Arabidopsis thaliana: one gene and its partner. The protein of the gene in region 2 interacts with the protein of the main gene of each other region in a pairwise test. Each region holds a gene or a part of one and is shown on either strand. Other genes may lie near its edges.

Region 1 (5,548 bases), 3.6 Mb from region 2:
AACTTGAACTTGCTTTAGGTGCAACTGTGCAAGATCTACTAATCTCACGTCACGCCTCTACCCTCAAATCTTTGCAACTTCGGTTTTATAGATCTGCTTCTTTTTGTACGTTTCTTTGATTAGCTGATCTCCAAATTAACGAAATAAATGGTTCGGATTTGTTACTCCATTTACGGATTACTTGGCAAGAAAATCCTTAATTTTTCTTCGCTTCTTCCTCCTCTCATTTTTTTTTTCTTCACTTTGACAAGCAACTTATTACAGAGAAGATATCTACTTGTAACATGAATTTGACTTTGAAGTGTTTGCTAGCTCTGAGCCTCTGAGGTCCGTTAGTTCTTAGAGTCAGATCACATGATTGATAGATTCGGTGTCTCTTTCTGAGATTTCAGCATATATGTTTGATTCTGTCTTTTTATAGGTTGATAAATCGATTCATGACCCACTGGAATAATGAGAAGGCTTTTAGGTATGATTACGTTGAAAAAATCCCGCTTTCACTCTTTGAAAGATAGCTGAGCCGAGATGGCCAGATTAAAGGTCATGAAGTTCACTGTTTCAGACTATGAAGGGAGGTTAGGAGTTTCACAAGATAACTAGAGAAAATTCCAACTGCAACTTGTCTCAAGAAGGAAATGTAATTATAGATAAACGAAAGAAAGAACAGAGGAAAAGAACAGTGATGTTGGGTAGGAAAACAGGTGAATGACTTTCAACGTGCCTGAACTAAAATGAAAATTTTCCCCCATAAAATACATAGCATCGTACCAATTAACGTAACGATCCTTTCACCCTTTGTATTTCTGTGTCTAGTAGTTGAAGAAATGTTGGTTGAATTCAGTTTGGTTTCTCTATGGTCCATACGTAGAACATCAACTAAAATCATAAAGCTAATTAAGAATTGTGATATAGTGTGATCTAGCCTACGCATCTCTTGCATGTTTTGTGTAGGACGATTTAATTGTCTCTAAGAAAACACAACTCTCCTTTTAAAGACACCCATATATTTCTTTTAATTTATATATATTTGAATATATGCTCATTTAAAAACACTTATATAAATAATCAATGTGGATGCTCTCAAAGTTTTCTTGACAGATTTTGGTGCTAAATTTTTAAGGTACATTCCTGGATTTTTTTTCATTGTTTTCTATTTTGTAAATTGACTTATAGAGAACTTCTATTGATTTTTAAAAAAAAATCATAGCGCGAGTAAATGATAACGGTAACGATGAAATCTAATGAGTAATGAGAATGAATATGTATACATTGATTTTTGAATTTATTCGTAGTGCGAGTAAGTGATAACGGTAAGTCTGTAACGATGAAATCTAGTAATGATTAATGATTTCTCTTTCTTATATATATATATAAATGAAATCAGCGATGTGGAACTTTCGATGGATGTAATAGTAGCTTTCCAAGGATTGTCTTTTTTTTTTCTTGTCCACGAAAATATTAACTGTAGACAATTATTTGTTGTCCCATCTCCACCAAGATTCCTGCCTTGCAAATTCCACACGTGTTTTCACTTTCTTCACCAACCTACTGGATTTCACTAGTTTGTCTGTAAATTAACTTGCTTGTCTACGACAGCTAAATAAATAAGGAATCGTAAAAGACTAGATTTATTTAATAAAGAAGTTACGTTTATAACGAAAAAATATTTCTTAGCAAAATAAGATTATCTTGTGATGAAGTTTCATTTCAACAAACATAAGATGAACATGATAAAAAAAAAATCATAAGAATAAGAACACAAAAAGAAATGAAAAAGGACCTATTATTAAATAAATAAACTTTGACAAAAGCAATGCCCGGAGCTTAAAAGGTCACATAAAAATTGAAAAATTTCTAATCACTTACACGTCGTTCACCGAACACGTGGATTGGAATGAGTAATAAAATTCCATAACCATTAGATGAAATGTAACATCTGTAATCTTGCCATTAAAATATAGTATTTATATTTGGCCTGAAGCTGATGCAACTTATACACAAAACCTACTATTATTAAGATTTGACAAAATATGGCACCAGCTCAAAACCAAATCACTTCTAAACACGTGGCAGTGATCGGAGCCGGACCAGCCGGTCTCATAACGTCTAGGGAGCTCCGTCGTGAAGGTCACAGTGTAGTTGTGTTTGAACGGGAGAAACAAGTCGGTGGTCTATGGGTTTACACACCTAAATCCGATTCCGATCCACTTAGCCTTGACCCCACCCGATCCAAAGTCCACTCGAGCATCTACGAGTCTCTCCGAACCAATGTCCCGAGAGAAAGTATGGGTGTCAGGGACTTCCCGTTTTTGCCACGTTTCGATGACGAGTCAAGAGACGCGAGACGTTATCCAAATCATAGGGAAGTTCTTGCGTATATTCAAGACTTTGCTAGAGAGTTTAAAATAGAGGAGATGATCCGGTTCGAGACCGAGGTGGTTCGCGTTGAACCGGTTGACAACGGGAACTGGAGGGTCCAGTCGAAAAACTCCGGCGGGTTCTTGGAAGATGAGATCTATGACGCCGTCGTGGTTTGCAATGGTCACTATACAGAACCAAATATTGCTCATATTCCTGGTAAAAATATTAATTTATAAATACTCACCTTTTCTTTTAATAACAGTGTAAAAGTTAGTTGAGAATAACCAAAAAATGTGTATCCATAGGTATAAAATCGTGGCCAGGAAAGCAGATTCATAGCCACAACTATAGAGTTCCTGATCCATTCGAAAACGAGGTAATTTTTTTTTCCTTTGTAAAAGAAGGTAAAGCATATGGTCTAGGTTAAGAAAACTTTCTACATCATTGCGTCTATATGGAAGAACTCCATCTCTCAGTTCTTGGAAGTAAAGCATTGTTCGTATGCATTTAGAAATTTAAATTAGCTCTATCAGACGCTTGGGTGATAGGAGGTATGATGCAGCTTTTCAAGTTTGGCTTGCAGCCCAAGCTTGATTAACTCGCATCTAATTGTTCGGACTACAAAATTTTTGAAAAAATCTTTAAATTTTTCTCTCGATAAACCGTTCCGTCAGTTGTAAAAATGCTATTTTTTCTTTGAATATAATTTAACATTAGATTCAAAAAAAAGATAAAAAATTAGCTCTATTAAATTATTAATACGTAAACGTAACTGTAAGTTGGTCCACAAAATTATATATCATAATTAATTTCATTTACGATCTATATTATTGTATTGATATTTTGCTAGGTGGTGGTGGTGATAGGAAATTTTGCGAGTGGTGCCGATATTAGTAGGGACATAGCTAAGGTCGCAAAAGAAGTCCACATTGCGTCTAGAGCAAGGGAACCCCACACATACGAGAAGATTTCCGTTCCCCAAAACAATCTATGGATGCATTCCGAAGTAAAACTAAAAACTTTATTTAATCGAACAATGATTTGGATTATATGAACATTCACGCCATTTCATTTAAAACCAATTATAATGTTAAAAGTCTTTGATTTTCTCCTTTGATATGTCGTAGATCGACACCACCCATGAGGATGGGTCGATTGTTTTCAAAAACGGGAAGGTGATATTTGCTGATAGCATTGTGTATTGCACCGGGTATATCCATAGTTTTCAGTATTTATTGGCTCATATATAGCAAGATTTTTAATCTATTGACTGACCTAATGTTTTTGGTTTATGTGTGTAGGTACAAGTATAACTTCCCATTTCTTGAAACAAATGGCTATTTGCGCATTGATGAAAAACGTGTTGAACCTCTATACAAGCATGTCTTTCCACCAGCGCTTGCCCCTGGACTTGCTTTCGTTGGTTTGCCAGCAATGGTTAGTATCAATTGAACTTTTTCTCTTGGACTTTCGAGTTCACGTCTCACTTTATTAGTTTTGATCTGTGATTTTCTTTTTAAATTCAGGGGATAGTATTTGTTATGTTTGAAATCCAAAGCAAATGGGTGGCAGCAGTCTTGTCAGGACGAGTTACACTTCCCTCAACAGATAAGATGATGGAAGATATTAATGCGTGGTATGCGTCGCTTGATGCCTTAGGTATTCCCAAGAGACATACTCATACGATAGGTAGAATTCAGGTAAGTTCGTCATATTCCGAATAAAACTACATGTCCTATAAATATGTCAAAATAGTTTCAAACGTAGATTTCTAAAAAAAAAAAATCATGTGAAAAATATTAAAACAAAATTCACATGTTTTAATAATTAAAACTTTTTCATATCATCATAAAAAAAACCAAGTGCGCTTGAATTTCGGATTTACAATTACTAAATATAAATATTTTTAATTAATTGCTTAAAATATGGATTTTTTAAATACTTTGAATATAAAATTAAAATTACATGTAAACAAACAACCAAATGCATATACATATTCTTTTTGTTAAAGAATCATATGCATATTATCGACTCAAGAAGAGCATCATGTCAATAACTTTTTTAAGAAAACTTAATCTCTCTAACAGAGTGAGTACCTCAATTGGGTCGCGAAAGAATCTGGTTGTGAACTCGTAGAACGTTGGAGAGGTCAAGAAGTTGACGGCGGATACCTGAGACTTGTGGCCCATCCAGAAACTTACCGTGATGAATGGGACGACGATGAACTCATAGAAGAAGCGTACAATGATTTTTCTAGGAAGAAGTTGATTAGTGTTGATCCTTCTTATTACCTCGAAAATGGAAGATGATCTGCGCCAATAGTGCCGACTTGTTTTTCTTTTCTGGTAGGTGGGTTGATTCCAAGCCTTCAATAAATTGCAAAACTATTGTAAGCTTTACAATTTACAAAAAAAAAAAAAAAAAAAAAAATTGTAAGCTTTACAGAGGAGGGTTAAGCTATATTGTATGCCCTTGTTGTTTTAAATTATTTTTTACATTTCTGTTTGGCTTTTTGATCGTTTAGTTTTAAATATGTGCTTCCATTTGTATGTGATTTGCATTTTTGAGATTACGTTTATTTAGTGTTCCGACTAGTCATCTATCGTAGGGGAATTTTTTTAATATGAACGCGAAAATCGAGACTGTAGTAATTAATTTGCCATATTAATGGACCCTATACAACACAAAAATTATTGGACACAAAAATCTGGTTCTATTTATTTATTTTTGGAGGTTTTTATTTTATTTTCTCAACTCCCTGCTCTTGATTTCTTTTTACACCCTTTTTTTTTTCAAACAATAGTATTGGGTTCATTTTAGAAAAGGGAAAAACTGATATCCCATTCACGACTTTAAAGTTTAAACTCCCACTGAATCCATACCATTCGACTCACGATAAAGGAAGGTGTGGCCAATATCGGCTTTTTAGTTATTCTTGGTGCGGTTAGTGGTGTAACAAACCGTATATTTGACTTTTTGGACTATTATATGTGACCTTTATTTTGACTAATGTCTCTTTTTTGGTCGAACACTAATTTCATATATATGTCTCTTTTTACACCGTTTTATAGATCTCTATTCTAATTACCAAATGGTTAGAAGATGCAGATGTGGATTAAAAGTGATTCTCTTGTAGTATGTTGTTATAAACTTATACTCACTCTTCTTATTTTTTTTTATTTTTTTT
Region 2 (6,168 bases):
GCAATGTAGTTTTCCCATGGTGATTCACTCCGGTAAATGTCACCAGTGGAATCTCGAATTTTCCTGATATATAAGAACTGTCGATGAAGATGACATCGCCAAAGTAACTGCAGGAAACTTTAGAGAAAGCATCTGCCCAGAATACATTCCGTAGTTGACCTTCATCATTCACATCCATCAAGTAAAAAAAGTTTGGATTTGTCAATTGCATACGGCAAAAGTAGTTGTAAATGGCTGCAGAATCTCCTCTCTTAAGGTTCAGCAAATCAGGTGACCCAGTAGAATTCTGAAACTTCTTGTTAAGAGTCGAGTTTGGGTTCACATTGCTCCCATTATCCACCACACAAGCTCGGTACAGCTTAATCGTCTTAGCGTCTGAGACTGGACTAGATACACACTTCCTCTTCCTTTTAACCGATTTATATAACTTACAACCGAGTAAATGGTTATGATCAAGTGTAACTTCAACTACCCGCCACCTCTTAGAATCAACCTGTCTCATTCTTATCATAGCAGGACAACCAGTTCGAGTTTCCTTTCTAACACGATTCACATCGTTAATCCTCTTAAAACCTTGACTACTACAACAAAGCACCGCACCATACTTCTCTTTACTACGCCGCTTAAACCACGAATTCTTCACTCTTACACGAAACCCAACTTCACTAGCATAACAGTTATAATAGTTATAAGCATCATCATACGACTCAAACTCCATTCCAACCGCAGGTGCATCGAATTCTTTTCTCTCATCAACAAGTAAACCACTCTGTTCATCAAACCCTCCCATTGTTTCTTCTTCACTCTTTCTTTCTTCGTTTTGACAAAATCCAACATCAATCTCATGCTCACTACTACAAACTAGAGCTTCTTCTCCTATCCGTAAAGTATCTGACATTGGATCATCTCTTTCACGAACCTCGTCGTTCTCTAAATATGCAGATGCTTGGACCTGTAATAACAAAAAGCTATAAACTTTGATTCTAGCAAACCCTATTTACTCAATTGAGGCATCAAACTTGTGAAGGAGCTGAACAAAAATGATAATCAACCCAATGAAATCAAATGTAACATCATCACAACCCTTGTGCGAATCGATTCATAATCTTCACAAAATCCAGAATTGAAAAGAGGAGTTTTAGAGTTAAACACATACATCTTCATCAACGGACTCACTTCTCTCCATTGGAGGTTTGGTTCCTCTTCCTTCTTCAATTCGCGGGTAAATTTTGATGAAAGCACTTGACTTTATTCGATTGAAGGAGAACACTCGTGAAATTGATCGGTCCGGGATAGATCCGGACGGGTCTTACACGGAAAGATCCGACCCGAGAGTGATCTTGCGCGGGTATTGACCTTTGAAAGCGGTTAGGTAGTTTAACTTCTTCTTCTGACGGTGAGGTGGTCTTTTGGGGCTCGACTGGTGACTCTAGCATTTTCACCAACATAGAGACACCTTAGGCTTAGGGTTTTCACACACAGGTTCAAAGCACGTGCTGCAAACGTCGTCGTTCGCACTTAAACATATCATTTTTGTTTTTCCTTCACTTAAGACACTTAAACGACAATTACACTGAAACGGAGGGAATGCTATGAAATGAAATCCAAAATTGCATTACATAGATTCCCTGAAATGAAATCTATGAGTCTATGACATTAGTAAAACGCACAAACTTGTGAATGTGATATTTATGAGCTTATAAAACAGCATATATAAAAAAAAAATATATCAATTTCTAGATTTTACCCACAATCTTAATTTATGTCATCATTAACCACTAATTTTTCAATATTTTCTCTCTCTTTCGAGGCGCATATATAAATACAGGAAATACGCTTTTTTACTTACCAATCAAAAATGTCTTTGCTCTCTCCTCTTCCTCTGCTCCACTCATTCTCCTCCACCGTCGCCACAAAATCCACCGCCTCTAGAATCACTGCCACGCCGTCGAAAATCCGCTTCTCTGTCATAAACGCCACGTCGGAGAATGGAAACAGCGGTGGTAGTAAAAACGATCGTGATGAGGATCCATCTTTTAACCCATTTGGTTTCGTTACAGACAACCCGTCTAGCCGGAGTGCAATTCAGTTACCAGAGTCTCCGGCGGAAGACGGCAATGTCGGCCAAATGCTCTACGTAAATTTCACATATTTACTCAGTTCAATTTTGAACTGTGATTGAAATTGAAAAGATGCATGGTTCATATTTGCTTCTATTGATTTCAAATTCCATTTTTTATCATAGTGTTATATTTTTGTTGATTGTTATGTTGTGGGTTTAGAGGACTGAAGATAAAGGTAAAGAGTATGGCTCAACTATCAAATCTGGGAAGCTTAGATGGTTTGTGAGAGAGACTGGTAAAGACTTAAGTTTTGTGTTTGTTTTTTGGATTCAAGAAGAGTTTTTGATCACTGATTAAGCATTTTCCTATTTTCCGGTAGGATCAAAGGAGAGTCGTCGAGGAACCATTGTATTTGTTCATGGAGCTCCTACTCAGTCTTTTAGCTACAGAACTGTCATGTCTGAGGTGCTACACTGAATCTTGAATCATGTGTCTATATGGGAAACAATTGTTTCTAATGAAAGACTCTTATGATTTCCAATGAATCATGTGTATGTATATGAAGCTTGAGTGGATCTTTTGTGTGTTCCCAACAATGTAATAGTTGTCAGATGCTGGATTTCATTGCTTTGCACCTGACTGGATAGGATTCGGATTCAGTGACAAACCGCAGCCTGGATACGGTTTTAATTACACAGGTTCGTTGATGGTACATTTAATAGTTTGTGAACTGCAAAATCAGTGTACATGGTTCTTTGTTCTAATAAGTTTTAAATCTTCTCAGAAAAAGAGTACCATGAGGCGTTTGATAAACTGCTTGAAGTGCTAGAGGTCAAATCTCCTTTCTTTCTTGTTGTTCAGGTTCGGATGTGTGTTCTTATCCCATTTGTGTATAATATGTTAATAATTCATCAAGACTGAATATATATCTTATTTCTGCATTTGTTGTGGTCTCCCAAGGGATTTCTTGTAGGTTCATATGGTTTAACTTGGGCTTTGAAAAATCCAAGCAAGGTTGAGAAACTCGCGATCCTTAATAGTCCGCTGACCGTTTCATCCCCAGTTCCCGGATTATTTAAGCAGCTGAGGTTCAACTCTTTTGCCATTTTGACCACTCTAAATGCTTGCAATACTCTGTGAAAGCACCAATCTATTTGTATCTCTTGGCTTTCCTCATTTTTTTTCTGATGCAGGATTCCCCTGTTTGGTGAATTCACCTGCCAAAATGCTATCTTGGCCGAGCGGTTCATTGAAGGAGGTAGCCCGTATGTATCAAATTAACCATCATCTTCATTATAGAGATGAGACATTATATACTGGCTATTCTCCTAGCTCAGCCTCAAAATGCATGTGTTTGGTGATGTTGATAGAGGCTTCTACTGACAATTGTCTTACTCTATATCTGTTTTGATAGCTACGTCCTGAAGAATGAGAAAGCTGATGTGTATCGTCTACCATATTTGTCAAGCGGAGGGCCTGGCTTTGGTACGTCTCTAAACCAAATTCAATGAATGGAGCATGATACACACCTTACTCTTGATTCTTATGATGGTTTAATCTATTATCTAAGAGACTTCTCATCCTGAGATTCTGATGAATTAGCCTTGCTCGAGACTGCGAAGAAGATCAACTTTGGAGACACATTGAGTCAAATTGCAAATGGGTTTTCATCAGGCAGGTAAGTGCATTTCAACTTTTTACAAATTCACACGGCTACAGATAGGTCTTTTACTTTGCTGAGGTTTTGATCCTTCACAGCTGGGATAAACCTACGCTTCTGGCTTGGGGAATAGCTGATAAATATCTGCCTCAGTCTATAGCAGAGGAATTTGAGAAACAGAACCCCCAAAATGTTAAGCTTCGACTCATCGAAGGTGCTGGGCATTTGCCTCAAGAAGACTGGTATGAGAATACACATACTGTTCTGGTCTGCTTTGATTCTTATAAGACTCTCTGAATTTTGAACTTTGTATACAGGCCAGAGAAAGTAGTTGCTGCCCTCCGAGCATTTTTCTGACTTCCAAATACAACAAAAAAGGACAGAGGTAATCACAAAGCCTTGTAACAGCCTAAATAACTAATAATAGTAGAATATCACATAGCCTTGTAGGCATCCCACATTTCCAACATACTTTCTTACAAAAAAAATGGGATAACTGTTAGCTGCCCACAAAAACTATCATCTTGGAAACATAGGTTCTCAACTTTTTCTTCCTTTTGGCTTCTTACCAGCTTGGCTAGTAGCTTTCTCTTCAGACTTCCTCTTTATTGCAGGCTTTGTACCACGGCCTTTGGGTTTCACAACTTCTTCTTCAGCCTCGCTATCATCTCCATCATCGTCGCTCTCTTCTGTTTTTGTCTTCGATGCAGGCTTCTTACCACGACCACCTCTGGGTTTCTGTCCTTTCTTCGATTTAGCACTCTCATCTTCTTTCTCAGTTTCTTGTTCATCTTCTTCCCCATCTCCATCGTCTTCTTTGGGTTTCACACCTCGTTTAGCCGGTCTAACCTTGGCTGCTTTCTCTGCGTCTTTCCCATAAAGTTTCTGCAGTTCTGGAACATAAGCTGTTGTCTACAAAAGAAGAAAACCAGACACAGAAACATTAGTTCAGTTCACTACATGAACCAATCACCCACATTATAACAGTGCCTAACAATGCATACATATACTTACCCTTCCACCAGCAGTAATGAAATCAATCTTCTTCCCTGCAATAACCAAAACAGTATTCATTACCTACCACATAAATCAGATACATCACGATTCACTCTCATAACGTTTAAACCATTATTATGGGGATTAACAACTGCAGTTGGAAGTTGAGAGAACAACAGATCCAACAGTTTTATGAACTTTTGCAGGTAGATAAAGAGTTTGAGTGTGAAATGTGGGATTCAAACCATCAACAAAGGCCTTTCCTGGCTTCTTTTCCCTATTATGAAAAATCCAGTAACTAGGAAACTGACTACTGTCTGCATCAACTTCCACAGCTTTTTCTATCACCTGCAAAACCCCAAATTCTGCTTCATCAAATTTATAGATAGATGGTGGGAAAGCTTACCATTAACTTTCCCTGCTTTTTTCCCCCACCGAAAATGAAACAACCATTCAACAGGAAACTCTTTGCTATCAGCATTGACTTGAACTGCATGTTGAATGACCTACAAATGCGGGTTTTTTTTTTCTCTCTAAATCCCAATAAACAATGCATCATATGCATATATATTAACAGAGCCTTTGTAATCCCATGTTTTTTAGGTACTGTTTTGGTGGGGTGTTTAGAGTCTTACCTCTTTGATGGATGTGTGCAAAGCTTCACATTGCTCTTTGGAGAGGCTAGAAGCAGTCTGCAACGGGTGGATTCTGGCCTGCGAAAAAAATAAACTAGAATTAATCGTACAGCATGTAAACCCGTTTCTTCTGTCGTCAAATGTACAGAAAACAAAAGTGGATACTTTGTGAATCAAATGAGTGGTTACATAGATGCTTTACTTCATTTCAAATGTAAATGTGTAAAGATCACTTACTTGGTACAGCACTTCATCAGCGATCCAATTCCCAATACCTGAAATATATCCCTGCAAAAGGGAAGATATACATAATCATCTAAATGCGAGCTTTTTATATAAAGAAAAGGAACAAAACTTTGCCAAATAAAAGAAGATCATTTCTGCAGCATCTATAATGTCATATATAGCCAAGTTCTAGATATTGTGATAGAAGTGGTAAGGACAAGAAAGAGCTGAAAGATGCATAAAAGTGAGAGAAAATGAAATTTGATCTCTGAACCTGATCAAGTAGGAGAGGTTTTATGGTTATTTTCTTTTTAGCTAAGCTTTCTGCAAATTCATCAACTGTCATAGGCTCCAACAATGCATCAGGACCAAGCTCTGATATTGGACTCACAGAAGTAGGCTGCAATAGCAAACATAAATAAAACTATCACTAAGTATCCACAGAGAAGCTTAATAAAATAAAAAAAGCAACTTCAGAGTTATGCATTTATACATTTGCTAGAAGTCGAACTTTGGCAAATCTCCTCTTATCAGTAAATGAAAGCTCCAGACCATCATCAAGCTTTAAAAAAAAAGCATACCTCATTGT

Evidence for each region.
Region 1: the proteins of AT1G52510 (region 2) and FMO GS-OX3 interact in a two-hybrid assay, tested with the Arabidopsis thaliana proteins (one large-scale study listed by BioGRID).

What each region holds. Positions count from the first base shown.
Region 1 is NC_003070.9:23,157,882-23,163,429, forward strand, and holds FMO GS-OX3 (flavin-monooxygenase glucosinolate S-oxygenase 3), read left to right. Parts: upstream 1-1,852; 5' UTR 1,853-2,030; coding exon 2,031-2,577; intron 2,578-2,666; coding exon 2,667-2,737; intron 2,738-3,211; coding exon 3,212-3,367; intron 3,368-3,488; coding exon 3,489-3,571; intron 3,572-3,662; coding exon 3,663-3,798; intron 3,799-3,887; coding exon 3,888-4,061; coding exon of another isoform or gene 4,062-4,085; exon of another isoform or gene 4,086-4,448; coding exon 4,449-4,670; 3' UTR 4,671-5,000; downstream 5,001-5,548. UniProt on the Arabidopsis thaliana protein: Catalyzes the conversion of methylthioalkyl glucosinolates of any chain length into methylsulfinylalkyl glucosinolates. Prefers probably short-chain methylthioalkyl glucosinolates in cv. Landsberg erecta.
Region 2 is NC_003070.9:19,560,951-19,567,118, reverse strand, and holds AT1G52510 (alpha/beta-Hydrolases superfamily protein), read left to right. Parts: upstream 1-1,846; 5' UTR 1,847-1,858; coding exon 1,859-2,137; exon of another isoform or gene 2,138-2,282; coding exon 2,283-2,358; intron 2,359-2,442; coding exon 2,443-2,528; intron 2,529-2,667; coding exon 2,668-2,761; intron 2,762-2,847; coding exon 2,848-2,924; intron 2,925-3,023; coding exon 3,024-3,151; intron 3,152-3,256; coding exon 3,257-3,328; exon of another isoform or gene 3,329-3,477; coding exon 3,478-3,548; exon of another isoform or gene 3,549-3,639; intron 3,640-3,665; coding exon 3,666-3,741; intron 3,742-3,821; coding exon 3,822-3,965; intron 3,966-4,005; exon of another isoform or gene 4,006-4,040; coding exon 4,041-4,080; 3' UTR 4,081-4,108; exon of another isoform or gene 4,109-4,263; coding exon of another isoform or gene 4,264-4,635; intron 4,636-4,737; coding exon of another isoform or gene 4,738-4,772; exon of another isoform or gene 4,773-4,863; coding exon of another isoform or gene 4,864-5,225; intron 5,226-5,322; 3' UTR 5,323-5,342; coding exon of another isoform or gene 5,343-5,432; 3' UTR 5,433-5,591; downstream 5,592-6,168. Other genes in the region: FRS6 (FAR1-related sequence 6), read right to left, coding at 1-952, 1,157-1,186; MMH-1 (MUTM homolog-1), read right to left, coding at 4,264-4,635, 4,738-4,772, 4,965-5,067, 5,355-5,432, 5,592-5,642, 5,854-5,979, 6,073-6,141.